Caenorhabditis elegans: one gene and its partners. The protein of the gene in region 1 interacts with the protein of each later gene in a pairwise test. Each region holds a gene or a part of one and is shown in the gene's direction. Other genes may lie near its edges.

The links. Proteins that work in one complex are often made in the same cells at the same time.
Region 2: the proteins of ubq-2 (region 1) and W05B5.1 interact in a two-hybrid assay, tested with the Caenorhabditis elegans proteins (one large-scale study listed by BioGRID).
Region 3: the proteins of ubq-2 (region 1) and prx-14 interact in a two-hybrid assay, tested with the Caenorhabditis elegans proteins (one large-scale study listed by BioGRID).

Annotation. Positions count from the first base shown.
Region 1 is NC_003281.10:12,976,300-12,982,458, reverse strand, and holds ubq-2 (Ubiquitin), read left to right. Parts: upstream 1-3,935; 5' UTR 3,936-3,937; coding exon 3,938-4,076; intron 4,077-4,153; coding exon 4,154-4,240; intron 4,241-4,289; coding exon 4,290-4,450; 3' UTR 4,451-4,496; downstream 4,497-6,159. Other genes in the region: dbd-14 (DB domain-containing protein), read right to left, coding at 1-184, 1,307-1,366; frg-1 (Protein FRG1 homolog), read right to left, coding at 2,347-2,592, 2,647-3,157, 3,217-3,284; ZK1010.2 (DUF155 domain-containing protein), read left to right, coding at 4,597-5,120, 5,702-6,082.
Region 2 is NC_003279.8:13,029,844-13,037,637, forward strand, and holds the start of W05B5.1 (uncharacterized protein), read left to right. Parts: upstream 1-3,781; coding exon 3,782-3,843; intron 3,844-5,428; exon of another isoform or gene 5,429-5,434; coding exon of another isoform or gene 5,435-5,481; intron 5,482-5,719; coding exon 5,720-5,803; intron 5,804-7,794.
Region 3 is NC_003282.8:11,179,105-11,185,823, forward strand, and holds prx-14 (Peroxisomal membrane protein PEX14), read left to right. Parts: upstream 1-4,027; 5' UTR 4,028-4,040; coding exon 4,041-4,297; intron 4,298-4,344; coding exon 4,345-4,627; intron 4,628-4,678; coding exon 4,679-4,915; 3' UTR 4,916-5,191; downstream 5,192-6,719. Other genes in the region: cpt-2 (Calponin-homology (CH) domain-containing protein), read left to right, coding at 541-707, 763-1,018, 1,294-1,427, 1,476-1,605, 1,657-1,816, 1,865-2,009, 2,056-2,132, 2,180-2,600 and 2 more; nuaf-3 (NADH dehydrogenase [ubiquinone] 1 alpha subcomplex assembly factor 3), read left to right, coding at 5,192-5,297, 5,878-6,034, 6,083-6,238, 6,284-6,347, 6,396-6,533, 6,584-6,697.

The DNA of each region.
Region 1 (6,159 bases):
CCTTGGAATTTCCAGAGTCATCGATAAAGATTCCCTCGACTTTTTGTGTCACTGCACTTCTGGCGCGGTTCCTCGCACAACCGTACTGTCCACAAGAGTAGCCGGGTTGACATGACGATGGAGAGCATGAGACTGCCGGCGGAGCAGCACAGTATGATGAGCCACACACTCCGGATGATAAGCACTGAAAAGAGTTTCAGAAATTTTTAACGCAAATGTATAATATTTGCAAAATCTGTTATATTTTCTTTTCTATCCAAAATGAACATTTCTGTACAATTTGGCGCCTGTAGCAGTCACTATGACTGAGATCGTGACGAGACCCAAAATAGCGCGTGCCAGAATTTCGCGAAATTGTGATACCCACCAGAGATTTTTTTTTGTTGAAGAAATCGATTTTTTTTTGATGTGGAAATGTTTCGTGGCACACTCAATCTCGCCAGGAGCATAAGTTTTTCAAAAAATTTGGCGCGAAAAATTGTGTGCGCCTTTAAAAAAACTAGTAACCAATTTCCAAGTTTTCTTCGATTTTCCAAAATTTTCTCTGGATTTTAGGGAATTTTCGTGTATCACGGGAACACGAAATTCAATTTTTGCGTATTGCACAACACATTTGACGCGCAAAATGTCTCGTAGCGAAAACTACAGTAATTTTTTAAATGACTACTGTAGCGCTTGTGTCGATATACAGGCTCGGGTGGATTAAAATATTATTTTTTATCGATAAAATATTAAAATTAAGCTAAAAATGAGAAAATAATGCTGCGATTTCAAATATTAATTAATTTTAAAAAATCGAGCCCGTAAATCGACACAAGCGCTACAGTAGTCATTTAAGAAATTACTGTAGTTTTTGCTACGAAATATTTCGCGCGTCAAATATGTTGTGCAAGAAGAATTTTAAGAATTTTGTGTTCCCGTAATATTTCAGTGTAGTTTTTCAACAGAAAAAGATTTTTTAAGAAAAAAAAAAGAAAATGGGTTACTGTAATTCTTAAAGGCGCACACCTTTCTGTTCAAAAAATAAATTAAATGTCGCTCTGTACGAGACCCGGAATCGTAGTTTTAGTTGAAAAATTGCAATTTCAGCTTTAAAATAAATTTAAAAATATAAAAATAGGCTACTGTAATTCTTAAAAGCGCACACCGTTTTTGTTCAAAAATATATAAATATATATCGTTCTTTGCGAGACCTGGCAAATCGTAATTTTAGTTGAAAAATTGCAATTTCAGCTTCAAAATACCTTTTAAAAATCTAAAAATCATATTTTCGAGACCTATTTTTTTTTAATTTCCAAATACTCACAGCCTCGGTAACCACTGCACCGGCAACTAATACTAGAAAAATTGTAGTAGACTTTGCCATTTTTTTTTTCGGCAGAATTTGGTAAACTACAGTTCATATGCCTCCTCTTTTATACAACAACATCCGGTGAATTGACAGTGGAACCGGATTTCCATATGGAGTATAGGCGAAAGGAAGGTACGATTTCAAGGAAAAGAGTGGAGGGGAAGTACTTGAAGCTTGCATGCCATCCAAGGACGGCATATGGCCTTCATTAATCTCGTCTCGGAAGAGAAAACTTTGAAAAAGCGAGCTGAAGCTGAATTCAGTGGGAAAATTGCTTTGAAACGTCACAAAAAGTCACAAAATTGGGTCACAATGACCGAATATCATGATTAAAAAAAAAATCAAAAAAATGTTCTAGATTTTATATGATTTTTTGAAAATTAGAAAAATCTCAGTTTTCCCCCTAATTCCTATTTGAATTTCCGCCAATTGGATTTGTTCGATGGAGCGCGCTTGCATTATTTTAGTTAATTAATTTTTATTTATTCTCGTTATTTGACTGATTTCCTTCATTATTTGTGTATTTTTATCTAAAAAAAGAGAGAAAAATGCAAATCGTTCATTAAAAAATCACTGAAAATTGGTAAAACTTGTGTGAAAAATGCTAATTTCAGACTTGTTGTCGTCGGAACTCATAATTTTATAGTTTTACGCATTTTCAGTGATGTTTTAATGAACAATTTTCATTTATCTTGCATTTTTCTCTCTTTTTCCAATAAAAATACACAAGTAATAAAGGAAATCAGTCAAATAACGAGAATAAATAAGATTAAATTTTAAAAATAATGCAAGCGCGCCCCGTCGAACAAACTTAATTGGCGGTAATTCAAATAGTGAAAACTGAGATTTTTGGTGGCCCTATAAGAGCTCTTATAAGAGTATTTTAAAGCAATTTCCCCATTGACGATACTCCATCCTTAAACAAAAAAAGAAAGTAAAAGAATAATTATTAGAGAATTTATTGAATTTTACAGAACAAATACAAGTGAAGATTATTAACAATATCGATCAGATTTCATTTTCATCCGTCTGTCCAGCAGCAGCTCGTGTGCACTTCCGTCGGCCTGCGCTTTCTTAACTCCTTTCTTGTCCTTCACGTCAATCGCAATATGTCGGTTCTTGAGATCAACCTTCGAGTGCTGATACATCTTCACGTAGGCCGTCTCACACTCCCGAGCGTTTTTGCGGTCTTCCACAGATCTCCAATCGACTGGGCCTTCTTGTATAGCGTCTGTACGGATCTGGAAATTGAATTTAATCGGATTTTATCTATTTATATCTAAATTAGCACTTACATTAACCATTTCATTCTCCGTAGCGGTTCTACTAGCCACATAAATATGCCCCTCTTTATTTGGAACTGTAGAGAGGAAAAGTGGTGAGGAGACGGCTTGGAACGCGGTTTTTCCCTCCTGGAAAACCAACACGAATTGCTCGCGGGATCCAATAGCTTCAGCCATGGCAACCAATTGATATTCGCTGTCCACTCCAACATATCTTCCGAATCCTGTCTTCAAACTGATTTTACTATCGTCTGGAGTTTTGACGAGCGCGAAAATTTCCTCAGGATTCGGGCCTTCTCCCTCCGGATGTGGAAATCCAATTGTGAATTTTCCGTTGTCCATTGCAGCGACATAAGTTCGCGTTGAGCCGGCTCCACTGGCAACTTCGATGGCGACGTTGGTTCCTCCTTTCATATCGAATTCATCGGCAATTTTGCGCCAACCACCATTTTCGACGGTGTCTGGATCGATTTTCTCCTTGTCGTCTTTGTTCTTCTTCTTTTTCTCCTTTCCCACTTTGAATCTGCAACGAGTGAATTAATGGAGGATTTTATACACTTTAAACTTGAATATGTCACTTACAAATTCTTTTTTCCGGCTTTTAATTTCAATCCACCACCTTTTACAGCACTGTAGTCAGCGCCTGGCATTTTTTGAAGTTTTCTGCAATAAAAAACAAAATTTTCATCAATAAAACTGTAAATTTCATAACAAAACTCGAAGAAATCAATAAAAAAACGTTCGAAAAACGTTTGAAACAAAAAAATAATATTCGAATTCTTCTCCCCCTTCCCGTAAATCCTGCAGCTCTCTACCGTACTTTCGCCGTCTCTCAATTTCGCGGCGAGACCCATCACCACGGCAATCCTCCATTTGTGTCGCTGGGCCTAAATTTTTTCCGTTTTTTTGCTCGATTTTCGCCGTTTCTCTGCGAAATTTTTCCAAATTTCTGTTCAATTTAATCAAAATATTGTTCTGGACGCTTGTTCAGCATAGAAAGTGGAGATTCTGTTGTATTTTAAGCTTGGAAAACGAATTTATTATGAAATTTCATTTTTTTGCTAAATAATTTCTCTATTCTTGAATTTTTACAGCTTTTTAACGCAAAATATTCTTTCCTCTTTGTTCTAAATGGGTAGTTACACACATTATGCGGTCTATAACGTCTTTTGTCACCTTTGAAACTAGTCTCTAAAGAAAAATCAATAATTTTTGCCCCTACGCTCTCCTCCAAATGTTTCGCTCTCGCCGTCATTTTCTGACAATTTTACTCGGTTTCTTTTCAAATTATATAATTTCAGTCATGCAAATCTTCGTCAAGACTCTGACGGGTAAGACTATTACCCTCGAAGTCGAGGCTTCCGATACCATTGAGAATGTCAAGGCCAAGATCCAAGACAAGGAGGGAATCCCACCAGATCAGCAAAGATTGATCTTCGCCGGTACGTTATTATTCAGACCTGATATATTCTTGAATTAATTTCCGGGCAAAACACCCAATATAATTTTCTAATTTCAGGAAAGCAACTCGAGGATGGACGTACTCTCTCCGACTACAACATCCAAAAGGAGTCTACTCTCCACTTGGTGCTCCGTCTTCGTGGAGGTTAGTTTTTTTCTAATGTTCAGGCATTGAGAAATATTTCTAAATTCAGGAATCATCGAGCCATCTCTCCGTCAGCTCGCCCAGAAGTACAACTGCGACAAGCAGATCTGCAGAAAGTGCTATGCTCGTCTCCCACCACGTGCCAGCAACTGCAGAAAGAAGAAGTGCGGACACTCCAGCGAGCTCCGCATCAAGAAGAAGCTGAAGTAATCTTCACTCGTTCCAGTCCATGTGTTGGCAAATAAATCGTTAATTTTAATTGAATGTCGCTATTTGTGCAAAACGTAAATTTCGTAAATATTGGATTTTTGGAATGAGATTTGTACATGGTAACAAAGAATCATTATAAAATACAGATGCTCAAATCAATACTTCGGGGAGCTCTAGTAGCTACAAAGCCGGGTCCAGCCAGGCGCCAGTTCTCATTCACAGCACTTCTGCGGAGCGAGACCCAGCCCAAAGAGATAATTAATCTGGAACGGGTTCAAGTTAGAAAGATGAAGAAGAGACGCCCAGTTGCTTCATCGGTTGTTCCAAAATCCCTACGAGAACCTTCAGTCGTCGCCATGGCACTTTCAGAATCACTGAACCTCAATGAGGTCATCATGGATGCACAGCTCAATGGAATGTATAATATAACTGCAATCGACGAGGACGCGGATGACAGCTTGCACTTTGTCAAAAAACTGGAATATACCATCAATCCAGGCGAACTCAGTGAAATTTTCGTGTTTCGAGATGGAGTTGTCGTTTTTTGGAACGTTGATTCTAGTCAGCGATCGCATATTCTACGGGAGCTCGAACGATACGCAGATGCTCCATATGACTCGATGATTGTGATGGATGAGCAGGATAGAATGTTCTATAAATTTTCAGAGCAGTACGTTTTCTCTTGAAATCGTCAAATTTGCAAAAAAAAAACGGCGCCGCACAGAAATAGAGGCGGGCGTAATTTCGCAACCCTGTGGCACGGTTTTTACTTCTTTTTTTTTAAATTTGAGTTTTAGCCTCACAACCTTATGATAATCAAATTGGATAACATTTCATTCAAAAAAAGAAAGTAAGTAAAAACCGTGCCGCAGGGTTGCAAAATTACGCCCCGCCTCTTTTTCTGTGCGACACTGCTTTTTTGTTGCAAAATTCACTTTTTTTGTTCAAAAAAGAAAATTTAGATAATTTTCTCCAATAGAAGCTTCAAAATTAGGAAAAACTCGACAAAAATTCAAAAATTTACAATTTTTTATTAATATAAGCGAAATTTGCAAAACAAAACGGCGCCGCACAGATATAGAGGCGGGGCGTCATTTTGCAACCCTGCGGCATGGTTTTTCCTCTTTTTTTTTTGCAAAATTTGCAATTTTTAACTCAAAAAAAAAAGAAAAATAAAATGACATTTTCCAGCAGAAACTTTAAAATTAAGAAAAACTCAAAAGTATTAAAAAAGAAAATTATTATTTCCAGGTCTACAGGATCCACCATTCGTCAAGATCGTTTCTACCTCTCGGGAAAACATTTGGACGCCTTCCACGGCTCGAACGAAGCAATTTTAGAGCGATTTGCACTCAGTCAGGGATTCGCTGCTTCCGTGAAAATCGGAGTCTGGGAAAGTCTTCTAAACAATCTTGCGGAGCCACTCTCCAACACTACAAAATCGCTAACTCTGGGAAAGATTCCGTGGAGCCGGAAGCAGGCTCTCATGAGATCCGGAGAATTCGCAGCTCTTCGACACTCGATTAATCTTGATTGTACCCTGTTGAATAAGGATTTCTATTGGGAACGACCTGAATTGGAGAAATATTATACGATGACGGGACGCCATTTCTCACTAGACAGACGGATAGGGTTAGGAATCTGAAAAAATCGCGAAAAAAATTCAAATTAAAAAGAGTGTGCGCCTTTAAAAAATTTTGTTTTTTTTT
Region 2 (7,794 bases), on another chromosome or scaffold:
AAATCGATCATGTAAAAATCGGAGAAGCTCAGAAAGTTTCGAACCCCGGTGTGTCGAGTGATAGGTGAACGTGTTAGCCACTGCGCCATGCAGGACACGCGCGCAGAGGCAAAATTTACGCCAAAATTGAAAATGCCCGTTTTACCAAGAGTTTGTAGGAAAATTCCTTTAAAATAATTCAAATCATCTAAAACTTTATAGAAATTACTAAACATCCCATGAAAAAACTATATCCCGCAAAAGGAATCGATCTCCTGTTGTCACAGGTTACAGGCAAACGTGTTAGCCACTGCGCCATGAGCGACAAGCGCGCCAGGATAAGAATATTGGCCGCCACTTCTGCATACAGGGAAGATCTACGTTAAATCTGACCCAGACGCTTCCCAAGATTAAAAAAAGAAGTGCGCTTTAATTAAAGGGATGTCTGTCACTTCAACGCATCCTCTCTATCTCTCTGCGTCTCTCTATGCCTATTTTACCCCAAAATCCCCCACCCCCTCTCTTCTCTCATGTTGTCATATTTATGTGTATATATATAGTTGAATATATGTACTACTAGCACATACTTGTCATATTATTCAAAAGAGTGAGAGAGAGCTATCGAGAGTTTCCGAATCTCATATCAGTCTCGTATCAAGTCGTCTCTCGGCGTCTCTATATCTCTGGTTGCCTAGTTACCAAAAACTTTGCTTCCTTCCTTTTTAGTACGTCTTTCACAAATTCAGTGTAGTTTGTAGTGATAAACTAGTAAAACTAGTAAAGCTACAAACTACACTGCTCATCTAAACCTCAGCCGAAGACCTTAAACTTTAAATTTGTTAAGTTTTAGCCAAGATTAATGCTTTTCAACATTGCTTCTATTATATCGGTGAGGCTAGCAGGCTACTCACTACAAAAGTTTCTTAGCTTCAACTAACATTGTAGTTTATAGTCTAGGGCTGAACTATATCTATTTATGAAGTTTTGAACCTAGCTGAGAATATTTTCTCAGACTTCAAGAATCGTTTCAAATAAAGAGACTAAAACTGTGATACCAAATAATAAAAATTATAGTTTGTAGTTTTAGTGAGGCTAGCTTACTACAAACTACACAATTTTTCACCGAATGCACTTTTAGCCGCACCAGGTCGCCTGGAAACCGCCTTAAAAGCCATAAGACAGACGAAAAAAAGTTTTTAGTTTTCTTTATTCCCTGCCGTCCATTTTTTGTCGTCGTCCTTTGTGTTTGTGTTTCTTTTCTGCCCCTTTTCCATTCCAAAACGACCTCCCCCCACTTCCATCCATCTTTCCTCTTTTGGCATTTTTCCAATTTTTTCGGCTGTTAGTTTTTACTGATTTCCTTTTTTTCTTTGTCTGTTTCTTATCAGTTATCGATATTTTGTTATCTTTTTTTTCGAAACTTCCTAACTTTTTATTTATTTAAAAATCAATTATTAGAAATTAACAACTAAATATTGCTAGCATTTTAAACTACCACTCTTCTGAAAAGTCTAGCTTTTGCCTTGCACCCACCGGGGACCTGATTCGACTCCCGGCTAGCGGAAATTGAAAATTATTTTTTTAAAATACCAAGTTTCATAGTTTTATTCAAAATTTATAGACCCTTTAAACCAGTTTCCGATTCCTTTTTATATTTACCCTCAATTTACTCTCGATAACCTTCTCGAATTGTTGACACAATCATGACAGTAATCCGTGACGTGTTAGGTCGCCTCAACCTCCGCCTAACCGTCTAAATCTCTTCACGCGGCGGCGATGTCTCGTCGAAATTCACATTTTCGCGAAAATTTCGGAACAAACATTGACGGGCAGTGGGAGAAGGTGGAGAAAATGCGATCACACAGTTTTCTGGGAAAGTTCGGCGAGTCCCATATCTTTCTGAAAATTCTTTTTTCCTTCTCTGACCAGCTACACCCACAAAATGGCTACCGGGTAAGCCCCACCCATATTAGAGGCGTGTCTGCCCTCACCCATCGCCTAACATTTTAACATTTTTAAAATGTTTTCAAACGTTTTGGCAGGCCACATCTCCGTTCATTTTAAAGATATCAAAACTTTTTAAACTAACGAAATATTTATTGTGTGTTTTTCTATATTTCAATAGTAACAAAGTTTTGATAAACCAAAAAACAATTGAGATATGAGCTCTCATAATCATTACTTACTATAAGTATCTGCCAGACTTTGGCGGCGTATTTCAGGGTGGATATTGCACATATCAAAAAGTCTTTAACTGATAAAATATTCATTATATAATTTACTATAATTTTGTAATTGACACCATTTTTTTATGTACGAATCCCATCGAGATACAAGCTTCCAAAGTTAAGTGGAACATGGTGCATCGTCACCTTTACTTTGGAGGCTCAAATCTTAATTTAGCTTAACGATATACACACATTTTTCATTCTTAACAAATAGAAAATTACTTGACGAATGTTTTGTTAGTTTAAATTTTTTTGATAAACTCATAGACAACCGAGATAAACACCAACAAAGCTGAGAATGACATGGTGCATCGAAGGTTCGAACCCTCAAACTTTGTCAGCGTGTATCTCAGTTCATATTGAAAATATAAACACACTTTTCACAATAAATACATTTAAAATTTTTCCTGTATCTTGGTTCTTATTTAAATTATTGACTTTTTTTAACTGCAAAACTATATAAAAATACATGCAAAACATTGTTAAATACCATACGTTTCCAAATCCAACCCTACCAAACTTCCACTTCAATCACTGATATTCATCAATTGATACCGTTCCAATATCCCTCCCTAATCTAAATCCTAATCTGTCTGCCCCTTCAGTGATGACCCGCCTATCTAATCCGAATGTGTTCTACATCTCATTCCATCTTCTTCTACTTCTTATTTCTTCTTTTCATATATATCTATATATTTGAGAGAGTGTTCCGAAAATCGTAAAATGTGTCGTCTTTTTCTCTCACTCTTCACATTTCTCAACACATTTTCTTTATTTTTTTTTGTCTTGCCACAGCTGTCAAGTTCATGACTCTTTTGATTTTCACCCATTTTTTTTAACGGGTTCATGGGTTTACAGCTGTTTCCTATAGGATGTTTTGGACAAACCGACACATATACAGGCATGAAAGTTATCTTTGTTATCTCCGACACCTATATATTTATTATTGCATATCGCACCTCGTTTAGTATACTTTTATTGCCTTCCTGTTTGATTTTATAATTAAAAATGTGTTTTTGCCAGAACAATCTGATGAAAACCCGAGAAAAATGCCAGAAACCCACGGTTCAAGCTAGCAAAGTTTTGTACTTTTAAACTACAAACTAATTGTGAGAGAGTTAAAAAATGGCTAAGGCTAAGGCTCAGGCCGGGGCTCAGGGTAAGACTCGGGCGTAGGCTTAGGCTCAGGCTTAAGCTTAGGCTTAGTCTCATGCTCATGCTTAGGCTTAGGCCTTGAGCTTAGCTTGGGTCTTGGGCCTAAGTATAGGATAAGGCTCAGGCTTAGGCCTAGGCTGAGTCTGTAATTCCTCAAAATCCCCCATTTTTCCATAACTTTTCGCCCTTCGACCTCAATTTATTTGCTCATTGCTCTCTTTTCCCTCCATGCTGCTAGGAACTCTCTCCAACACATTAATTTAATGCTCATTTTTCCAGAAAACCAAGAGAGAAAAAGAGCCTTCATCAATTGTTGTGCTCAAAAACATCTGGTGGCAGCCATCGTCTTTCTGTCTCGATTGGACAAGGATTCTACTATAACAAAACACAGCAAAAGGCGCGACACGACACCCGATTCTATGGCTTCAGTTGCCATCTCGTCGCCCCCGCTATCGCCACTTGGAAATAATAAGGATAAACGGTAAGGATTTCGTTTTATTTTGAGCAAATTTGATGGAAAATAGAAAAAAATGGGAAAAAACGACCCAAAATCGGGAGAAAAATCAATGAAGGTTTTGGCTTAGACAGGCTCAGGGCTAGGACTGGGCTGAGGCTTAGGCTTATAGTGGGCTTAGGCTTAGGCTTACGATTGGGCCTAGGCTTAAGCTTAGGCTTTGACTTAGGCTTAGGCCTACATCACTGAAGTTTTAGCATTAACATATGTACTTCTATCAAACGTGGCTTTTTAAAAGTGGATTTATACAAAATATTTAAAAGATTTGCATAACCTTCATATCTTTTAGTATAAAACATTCCCAAATGCGGATGAAAACAAAATAACGGAACACCTCTTTCACTCTCTCCAACCAACACATTTTGATGATCAAATCGTAACAAAAAAAAAGTGAACGCGCGTCCATCAATTCAGTCACCTTCTTGTGTTGGCTGTAAAGTCAAATAGTTTTTTCTCTTTTTTGATGTCTTCTTTATACTGTACAGTTGGTTGAGTCTAAGGGAACTTTGTAGTTGATGCCACCAACTTGGTGGTAAGCTTGAGGTCTACCGGAAATTAAATTTTGAATCTAAAATATTGTTTTTCTTATTGTTAAAAAAACACCAGCACTGAAATTTAAACCAAAGCGCAGAACATATACAGGAACTTATGCAGATATATCTTGATAGTTTGTAGTTTGTAGCTGAGTTCTGAATAAAAATTATTTTCTCTGAAACTCATATCTGTTCTGCAAATGTTTCTACCTTTAATCGGACTTTGCTCCCAAAAAACGCCCAGCACCTAGCACGCAGGTGATTTAACACAGAAAATCCAATTAACAATCTCATATTTTCCGGGAATTTTTCGCCGTATCAGATTAGAAGCTTTTGCCTTTTAGAGTTAGCCAGTTGGTTAAGGCTGTAGAAATTTTGGAAGGCTCTGATCTTTAAACCAACTTATGAACCCACCTACTTTCTAGGTAGCCTAGATTTTTTTAAAAAGTTAGGCCACCACAAAACTTTCTTTGGCCTAGCTGATTAAAACTCTGAAACATCCCTAATCCTACAATGCCTACAAAGATTTCCCATGCTTATACAATGAAGCACCCAAAAATTAGTACCGATTTCTCCTTTTACCTGCTGCGTCTATTTGCCCATCTACATCTTAATTTCGCGCACTTGACAAGCCTCAACCAGCCCACCACAGGCAGGCCCTACCTGAATTCAAGGTCAAAATCATCATCATTTCCTTTTTCATTCGGAATCTCTCCCCTCTATAATTGCCATGCATACTTCATTTTTATATTTATATACATATACACAGATTTACCTCATCGGTGTTCCCATTTATAGGTCTAGTGACTACAAACTACAATTGTCGTTAAGCCTCAACCAAGCCTGACCACCAGTTTGTAGTTTGTAGTCTACCTGAGTTTTTAGAGCACCTCTTTAATGTAATTTCTTTAGATTTTTAATTTCTAGTTTGTATATTTGACTTTTTTCTTCATAACACTAATATAATTTCTGGCTCCAAACAGCAAATTTATTATTGTTTAAGCTTCTTACTTTTAGAATATCGAATGAGGAGTATTCTCAAACATTTTGGACTCGGAAAACGCAAGAAAACGTGAGGAATTAAGGTTTATGGGTTACCGGGGAATTCAGATACCTCTTAATGAATATGAAATGTGACAGATTTGGAATTTTTAACATGTCAAGTACAAGTGTATTGTAAAAATACAAATTCGAGATGTTTTACACTAGCAAAGTTTTAGATTTTTAACTAAAATTAATTACGCTACAACAGTTTACCAAAATTAAAATGAATACTATAATTTTTTTAACTTCAATCATATTTTTTGCAGAGTATCATTCGGCGATGATCACACATTTGTATACGAGAAGGAGGACGATGCGACGCCGTTAGTGCCAAGGCAGCCGTTTACCGAGTTAGTTTATTTTAATTTTTTGAAAAAAACTTCAAAAAGAACTGATTTTAATATTTAAAACCCTTTTAACTAGAAACTTTCTGGTTGAAGCTAAGCATGTACCAGTGTTGTCACAGATTTTTTAAAACTTGGAATTGGGCAAACTTTTTTTTCAAATTCAAATATTAATGGATGATATTAAAAATATTAAACGTATGCAACTACACAAACCTACCGTACCACTAATCGTATTTCGGATTTTCGTTTTTGGAGCAAATGGTGGAATTTTTGTCGACATATTCGGCAAATCGGCAAATCGCCGGTTTGCTGATTTGCCGGAAATTTGCCGGTTTGCCGTTTGCCGAACATCAATTTGCCGGAAGTTTTTAGAGGGACTTTGTATAATACGGAAACACCTACAACTGTCCCTTTTTGAATTTTTTTTCCCGTTTTTTCTAGATACTTTCATAGAATCTGCTTACTTTTTGGAATAGATGTAGGAAATTTTGCCAAACCAAATTGAAATTCTGAAATTTCTAAAAAAAGGGCAAAACCACAATTTGTCGAAAATTTTCGGCAATTGCCGTTGTTCCTGCAATGTGCCAATTTGCCAAAAGTTTCAATTCCGACAATTTGCCGATTTGCCAGAAATTCCTATTCCGGCAATTTGCCGATTTGCCGACTTGCCGGAAAAATCGTTTTTCGCCCACCCTTCTACTGTATTTCATTTCTCTAAAAGCTATGGTCATGAAATTGGTTGAGGCTAAGCTAGGATTGCAGTTTTTAGTTAATTAAATACTTATAAATATTTATTGAAAACTTACCGTATTCCTAGTTTAGTATTGCTCCTTTACGATAGTTGTAGTTTGTAGTGACTCTCAGCTGTTGCTCTTTCTTTCCCATTGTTAATTTTTTCTTTTTTGTTGTTACGAATCAGTGTCAGTTTAAGAAGTCTTGTTATCAACCCGTTTTTGCCACACACAACCCACCCAGAGATACCGGGAACAAGAGAGACATAGAGATGAAAAGACGGAAAACCGAGAGCGTGTATTTCTCTGCGTCTCTCTAGGTTTAACGTATCTCTCTGCCAACCGGGCTGTGCTCTTTGAGAGGAGCTTCCCGACAAGTGAGAGAGAGAGTGAAGCTTTGGCTCAGTGAGCTTTGCCCAACACAGATCCGCGCCCGGCGCAGTTTTGAGTTCTCCCCCACCCCCATTCACTTACTCGTTTTGTGCTCTTTTTTGTAGAGCAAACTGTTGTTTCATTTCAATTGCCGATTTCGATGACTAAGTGAGTTTTTCCAGAATTAAAATTTTAGAGGGTTACTGTATTCAAAACAAAAGTTTTCAAAAATCCCAAAAATTTTTTTCTCAAAAACAACAAAATTAATTCAAATTTTTTAAAAATTGATTCTTTTATGCTAATATAGCATTTAATTAGTAAAGTTTTATCTTGTAAATGACTGAAAAAATCAAGATTCCAAAATTCGGAATTTTTCCAACTACTGTAACTTTTCCATTTTCTGGGATTTTTGGCTCATTTTTTTTTAATTGTAAAAAAAAATTCAAAAAAATTTTAAAAATTTGAAAAAAAAAGATTTTGAATTTTCGAAATTATTTTTCAAACTACTGTAACTTTGTCCATTTTTGAGATTTTTGGCTAAATTTTAGTGCAAATTGTACAAAAAAATTTGAGTTTTATATAGTTATTAAAAAACTTATAACGAAACTGAAATTTTGGCGCAATTAAAAATTTTTTTTTTGAAAATTAGTGTTTTTTTCCAAAATTTTTTTAAGCTTCTTGGCTCAATTTTTGTTAAGATGTATATCGAAAATTGGTTAAAAACTGTGTGTAATTATAGAAAATATGACAAATTTCTAAGGATTTTTCAGTGTTTTTAAAAATTGAAAATTTTAAAAATTGTCCCAAAAAAACAGAAACAACTTTCTTTTTTTATTTTCACTTTTTCAAATGATGCCATATTTCCCAAACATGTTATCATACTGAGCTGTT
Region 3 (6,719 bases), on another chromosome or scaffold:
TTCTCAAAGAAAACGATACAACGATGCTCCGATGTTACGCGTCGCGTGTTGTTAAGCGTATCTTCTAGAAGAAAATTTCAAAAATCAACGTGCGTTGCGTGAGAAAAATTGCGTTTTGTGCGTTTGGCACAGTGCCAGCTCCCCTTTTCGTATCTCCCCTTTTCGCAGATCCCCTTTTTGCAGATCCCCTTTTCGTTCTGCTCCCCTTTTCGTGGGGCCTCTAGTAAATTGAAAGAAAAAACGCAAAAAAATGATGTAAAATAATTTTTTGCAAGGAACGAATGACGCCTATGATTGGATGCTGACGCGTTTTTGGTGAGGCTGACGCATCTCTCGTGCAAGGTTCAAAGTCCATTATTCAGCACGTTGTTGTCCGTTATCTCACTCGTTTTTCGCATCATTTGTGTCTTGCTATCGAATGGCGAGCGGTTTTTCCGATACTTTGTATCTAGAACACTCATTTTTAAGCAATAAATGTATTCACTCTTCTAGTTTTCTAAATTAAATTCATGTTTTTATTTTTATTCTCTCAATTTTCAGATGCTTCGTTCCTCAAACTTGTGTCGATCAATTACAGCTTCTCGTGGAAAGCATGCTTTGACCGGAGACGACTATCAATATCTGGAAAAATCAGAAATTCCATCGTATCACTTCCAGAAGTCGCTGAGAAGACTGCCTATCCCAAAGCTTCCAGATACGGTAAATCGGTGAGCATTCTGTAACTAAACTGAACATTGATAATTATTCATCATATTTTTACAGCTACCTTGCTTCTTCTAAAGCAGTGCTCTCTCCGGATGTTTTTGCAAAAACTGAAGCCACCATTCGCAGTTTTGAAGCCAATGAAGGTCCAAAACTTCAAGAAGCGCTTCTAGAATACGACAAGGCTCATAGGGACACCAGTTACATTTCTGAGCCATGGTTTGATATGTATCTAAGAGCCAGAGTTCCAGTTGCTGTGAATTACAACCCATTTATGATGTATGCTCCAGATCCAAATCCGAAATTCAATGATCAGGTAAAATACGTTTCAGAGAAATAATGTTTTTGAGTAGTTTTTTTTCTGAATTTGAATTGATTTATTTTTGTACTTTGTATACTCGTTCTATTTATGACTTACCTTCTCTGTAGTCTCTTCTCCGTAGTCCACAAATTGTTCGAGTACACTACGAGATGAAAGATACGAGGGAGAAAAGGGGAAGGGTACAGTGTAGCTTTGATGAAACCTCTTTCTTTTCTTAATGAACAAATTTAAAGTTCTACCGATTGTTCTTAAGACCATTATTATTTCAGCTAACTCGCGCCACGAATCTCGCCATTTCCTATGCTAGAATCAAGCGATCCCTCGATGAGAACCTCTTGGGGCCAGAGGTTTTCCATATGAACCCGAAAAAGAGCGATACAAAATTATTCAGAACCGTTTGCAAGTAAGTCTCAATTATTAATTGAAATTGAAAGCCACCGCTTGTTTTCAGAACTCTTCCACCAAGTCTCTCATGGTTCGGTGCAGTTGCATTCAAAGCTTTCCCACTTGACATGTCACAGTATAAATCTTTATTCTGCGGATCGCGAATTCCAAAGAAAGAAAAGGATATGCTGTATTTGGTAAGTTTTAATAATTGAAACATTAAAATCTACTATCTCGAATATTTCTAGGATGCCTCTCAAAAGCATTTCGTTGCGTTCTACAAAGGTCATCCATACGCAGTTCGTATCTTTGACGATGATGGTAAACTCCTTGATGCTGAAGACGTTCATGCATCTCTCGCTTGGATTTTGAGTAATGGAAAGGAAGCGGCACCAGAGAGCAGTATTGGTAAGCGTTCTTGTAGATTTATAATGGTGCTAAAATATAAAAACCTAGGATCCCTAACGTCGTTGGATCGTGACTCGTGGGCTGAAGCTCGAGTGGAACTCGAAAACGCAGGAAATGGAGAATATTTGAAGAAAATTGATGGTGGACTTTTCGCAATTTGTCTTGATGACCTCAAAACTGAAGAACATAAAAGGTAATTTTAATGAAATAATTTTCAAACCAAAGTTTTGAATTCTCAGACTCGTCCAATCTCTTCTCATCGGAGATGATGCTCGTAATCGTTGGTTTGACAAGTGCTTCCAGACTATCATCGATGGTAATTTTCACAGAACTTTATTAAAAATCATATTTTTTCAATTTTAGCCAACGGTCAAGCCACAATCAACTTTGAACACTCGTGGGGAGATGGAGTTGCCGTGCTTCGTTTAATGGAAGAATCATTCAAGGATACCAACAAAAATCATTTTGTATCTCCAGACGACACTCCAAAATCTCATAATCCAGCACATGTGCAGGCACTCGAATTCAAGCTCACGGATTCTCTCAAATCTAAAATCAGTGATGCTCAGAAGAAACACGTCTCTGCAAATTCTGATCTTGATTTTGCGACAATGGAATTCGAAGGACTCAACAGAGATTTGATCAAGAAAACTAAATTGTCACCGGATTCTGTGATGCAGCTTGCTATTCAAATGGCATTCTATTCTTTGTACAAAGAGTTTGTTCCAACGTATGAGTCATGTTCCACTGCTGCTTTCTTGAAGGGAAGAACTGAATGCATGAGGTAAGCTTATTCCTCAGAATTAAAATATCAAGTTTCAAAACTCAATTTTCATATCGGCAACATCAGCTACGCGTGCCGCCACCTTGGCTATTCTTGAAGAAAATCGTAAAGATGTTCGACAACTATTGACTGATTGCTCCACACAACATTTCCAACTTGTAAAAGAAGCATCAATGGGACAAGGATATGATCGACATTTGCTCGGCCTCAAAATCACAGCTCAACGATTGAGCCAACCAACTCCAGATTTCTTCCAAGATCCAGGATACACGAGAATGGGTCATTTTGTACTTTCAACGAGCACTTTGTCAACGGATACGATTGTCTTCGGAGGATTCGGACCAGTTGTGCAAGATGGATTCGGTATTGGATACAACGTTGTTCCCAACAAACTCGGAGCCGTTATTTCGAGCAATAAGGTTCGTGATTTCTCTATTACCCAGACGCTAAATTTTATACTTTTTGCGTCAAAATTACGGTAGTGGTCTCGACGCGACCTTTTTTTTGTTGCTAAATCCAAACTTTCGTTGCTTCGGAATTTTTTAATCATTTTTTCGATAAGAAATATATGTATATTTAAAAAAAATAAAGCAAAAAAACTGAAAAAAAAAACCAATAAAAACAACAATATGTTGCAACATTGAACACATCGTAAGAAACAAAGAAAAAGTCAATTAAAATTCCAAAGCCTAAGAGCTTTAAAGGCGCACAGCTTTTCGCATTTAATAAAAAAAACTATCTTGTTGATACCCGAAAAATTGTCTAATTTTTTTTTGAAAAAAAAATTAGTCAAAAAATAGAAATATTTAGAAGTTTTTTAAAAGTATATGGAAAAAAAAGAAACTTTTTTAAGAATATAAATATTATCAGATATTATATAAAAATCGAAATAAAACTAAACATCAATAAATTGAGATTAGAAAAATCTTGTTCAGGTACCGTATTTTTGACAAAAAAAACTCGAAAATTTCAGGTTATTATCTTATCTCTTAGAATTTGAAAACATCTTATCTTTATAAAATTTTCAGTCGAAACGTGACGCTGCCGCCTTCTCGAATGCTCTTTACAAGAGTTTGGACATTCTTCGTGGTCACCTTCTCGATCCGAAATAATTGTTTGATGACATTTATGTATTTATAGTGTAAACTACTTATTTATATTCATTTTTCTGTATTTTAGGGTAATTTTTCCTCGCGGTTTCTGCCAGATTTTAACCTAACGAGTATTTTCAGTTTCAAAAAATTCTTGCTTTCACATTGTAAATGTTAATTTTTGTGATAAATTTTTATCAATCGGGAAATCAATGTTTGATTATTTGATTATTCATTGATGGTTTTGTTATCGGTTCAAACCTTTTATTATCGATTTTCACTCATTTTTTAGATTATTCAATTTATTGCCATATGTATTATACTTTTATTTTAAAGCTTCAGGTTGAAAATGACTGACCCATCTAGTTCCCCGATTCGACCGGACATGGTAGAAGCAGCAAGAAAGTTTATGCTAACTCCAAAAGTTAAAGAGACTCCATTTGAAGAACAACGACAGTTTTTATTAGGAAAAGGAGTCAGTGAGGCTGAAATCTTGGAAGCACGAGCATCTATTCCGCCGGAGCAGTTGAGAAGTCAAATTGGAACAGAGAATATGATTCCAATAGGAGGTCATCCGCAAATGATGATTGCTCCAAAACAGAATGGGTTTGTAAATGAAATTATTGATTTCAAAATATCACCGCAAATTTCAGAATAGTATCATTTGCACAATCAGCTGTGGTACTTGGATCGATTTCATATGCTGGATATCGATTCGTCCGATCATATGTTCTGCCCAGATTCTTCGATATTCCTGATCCAGCAACAGAGGAAATTCGTCAACTGCAATCACAAGTCGACGATCTTCAGAATTCAATAAAATTCATAATGGATTCTGTTTCGCAAACAACACAACAGCTTGCAACACAACAATCAGAAATTTCAAGAGCCCTCTACTCAGTTGCTAACAGAGATGCTGATTTGAATCGGGTTGAGGTGAATTCTAGAAGATGGTTTTTGTAATGCTAATATTTCAATAATTTTCAGAGCGGAATTTCCACGATAAAAAGTTTACTTCTCAGTCAACATAATTTTGCTCCAATCGTAACACCTAGTGTTACTTCATCAATTCCATCATGGCAGCAGAGTGCAACTCCAACTTCTGCAACATCAATCACCACAACTACAACTTCTGAAGCAGCTTCCGGATATGCAACTCCTCCAGCCAATTTCAAAGAATCGTCATTAGCTGACGAGTTGGCAGATATTGAAAATATTGAATAGAATTTCAGAAATCTATGTAAATATATAATTAAATTAATCATTTTTAATGCACTCCTCGAAAGCCATTCCCTTTTTCTGTGATTTCTCATCAATTCACTGTGCCTTTTCATTTTTCATGTGCCACATTCCAAAGATTGTTAATTTCATCTGTGATATTACGAAAGAAAATCATATCGACATCTGAACGTTTCATTTCACAAAATGGTTGAGAAACCAGATATAAATTATCAGAATAAAAATGTGTTGCATGAAATAAACATTTGTTATTTAGGCATAATGAACAAATCGTTGATTGCTCTCGGAGCACAGACAGCTCGTCGATTTCTGAGCAGTTCATCAAAAAATACGATAGGAGGAGGAGATGCGAATCGGGCAGACACTGGTAATTTTAGGTTTTTTGACTAATAAAAAATGTATTTATTTAGCATCCGTTACTTTTCGTTTATTCCGTTTTGGATTCGGCAAAAATTTGTAAACACTCGATTTCTGATATTTTTCCAATTCATCAAACCTGCAGTCACGAAGCTATTTATACGGTACTCGGTCTCGACACGAAAACTTTTTTTAATGCAAAAAAGTACACTCCTTTAAATAATGAGTGCTGTAAATTCCCACTCTCATTTCTAAGAATTTTATTCCATTTTTCGTAGGTTTTCTCAAGATTTGTTAAAATTTATGTGTTTTTATTGTAAAATTTAAGTTTTTCATAAATTAATGTGTATATCTTTATAGAAAAACTATGAAAAATTGATAAAAATTCAACATCATGATGATCAACGAAAGTTTGAAACTACAGTAATCTTTAAAGGTGCACACCCTCTTGCACTCAACAAGAATTTGCCGTGTCGAGACCGGTAAGAATCGCAAAGTTTCGTGTATGGGTAATACCACTAGCTACAATTTTATTATTCATTATAAATTGAAAAAAATAGTTCTAAAAAACAATATATTTAACTTGACAGGTGTACTCGATGGTTATCATATAAATCCACTTGAAGAGTCTGACATGACAGATCGTAGTCGAATTTCAATGTTATCTACGGAAATGCTCGAAGCAAAACAAATTGGAGTTCGTGGACTTTCATGCTATGGATTTCGACTTCTCGATGGAACATTTTTGTGAGTTCTCAAAATTGAGAGTTTTTGCTTTCAAAAATAACTTTTCAGATATGGCCCAATCGCCTTGTTTCCAAAGACGGCTCTTTCGTGGCGTGTTCCAACTCCAGAAGACATCACTCCACGATCACTTGCTCTTTTTGCTGCTCTTGAACCAAAAATTGACATTCTTGTGTTAGGAGTTGGGGATAAAAAGAATATTGACAAGTATGAGCTAGAAAAAATATTTTTATTTAAAAAACAATTTTTCAGAGTTCGAGCCAGTGTAGCACCATTCCTTCGTGAACATAAAATTGGATTAGAGATTATGGATACTGTAATTTTACAATTTTGCTAACGTTTTCACAATTAATTTCTCTTTCAGGAGGACGCGATCGCAACATTCAATTTTCTGAATGCCGAGGGGCGATATGTAGGAGCTGCTCTTTATCCTCCAGATGATATGGTTGTTACTGATAAGGAATACGGTAGAGCTCTGGCTCTTTTGAAAGGATGGGACACGGTTGGCTACTCAAAAGCCCGGATATTTTTTATTTCAAAATGTGTTTTCAGGTTGAAGAAAATCCATTGCTCACTGGTCTTTCTGATACAATAAACGGGGCTGAGGATTTGGTTAAGCGATTGTGGAGTGGAGATGAAAAGAGTTGGCAATCAGCAAGACAAAAAGTATGATCAAACTGAATGGATC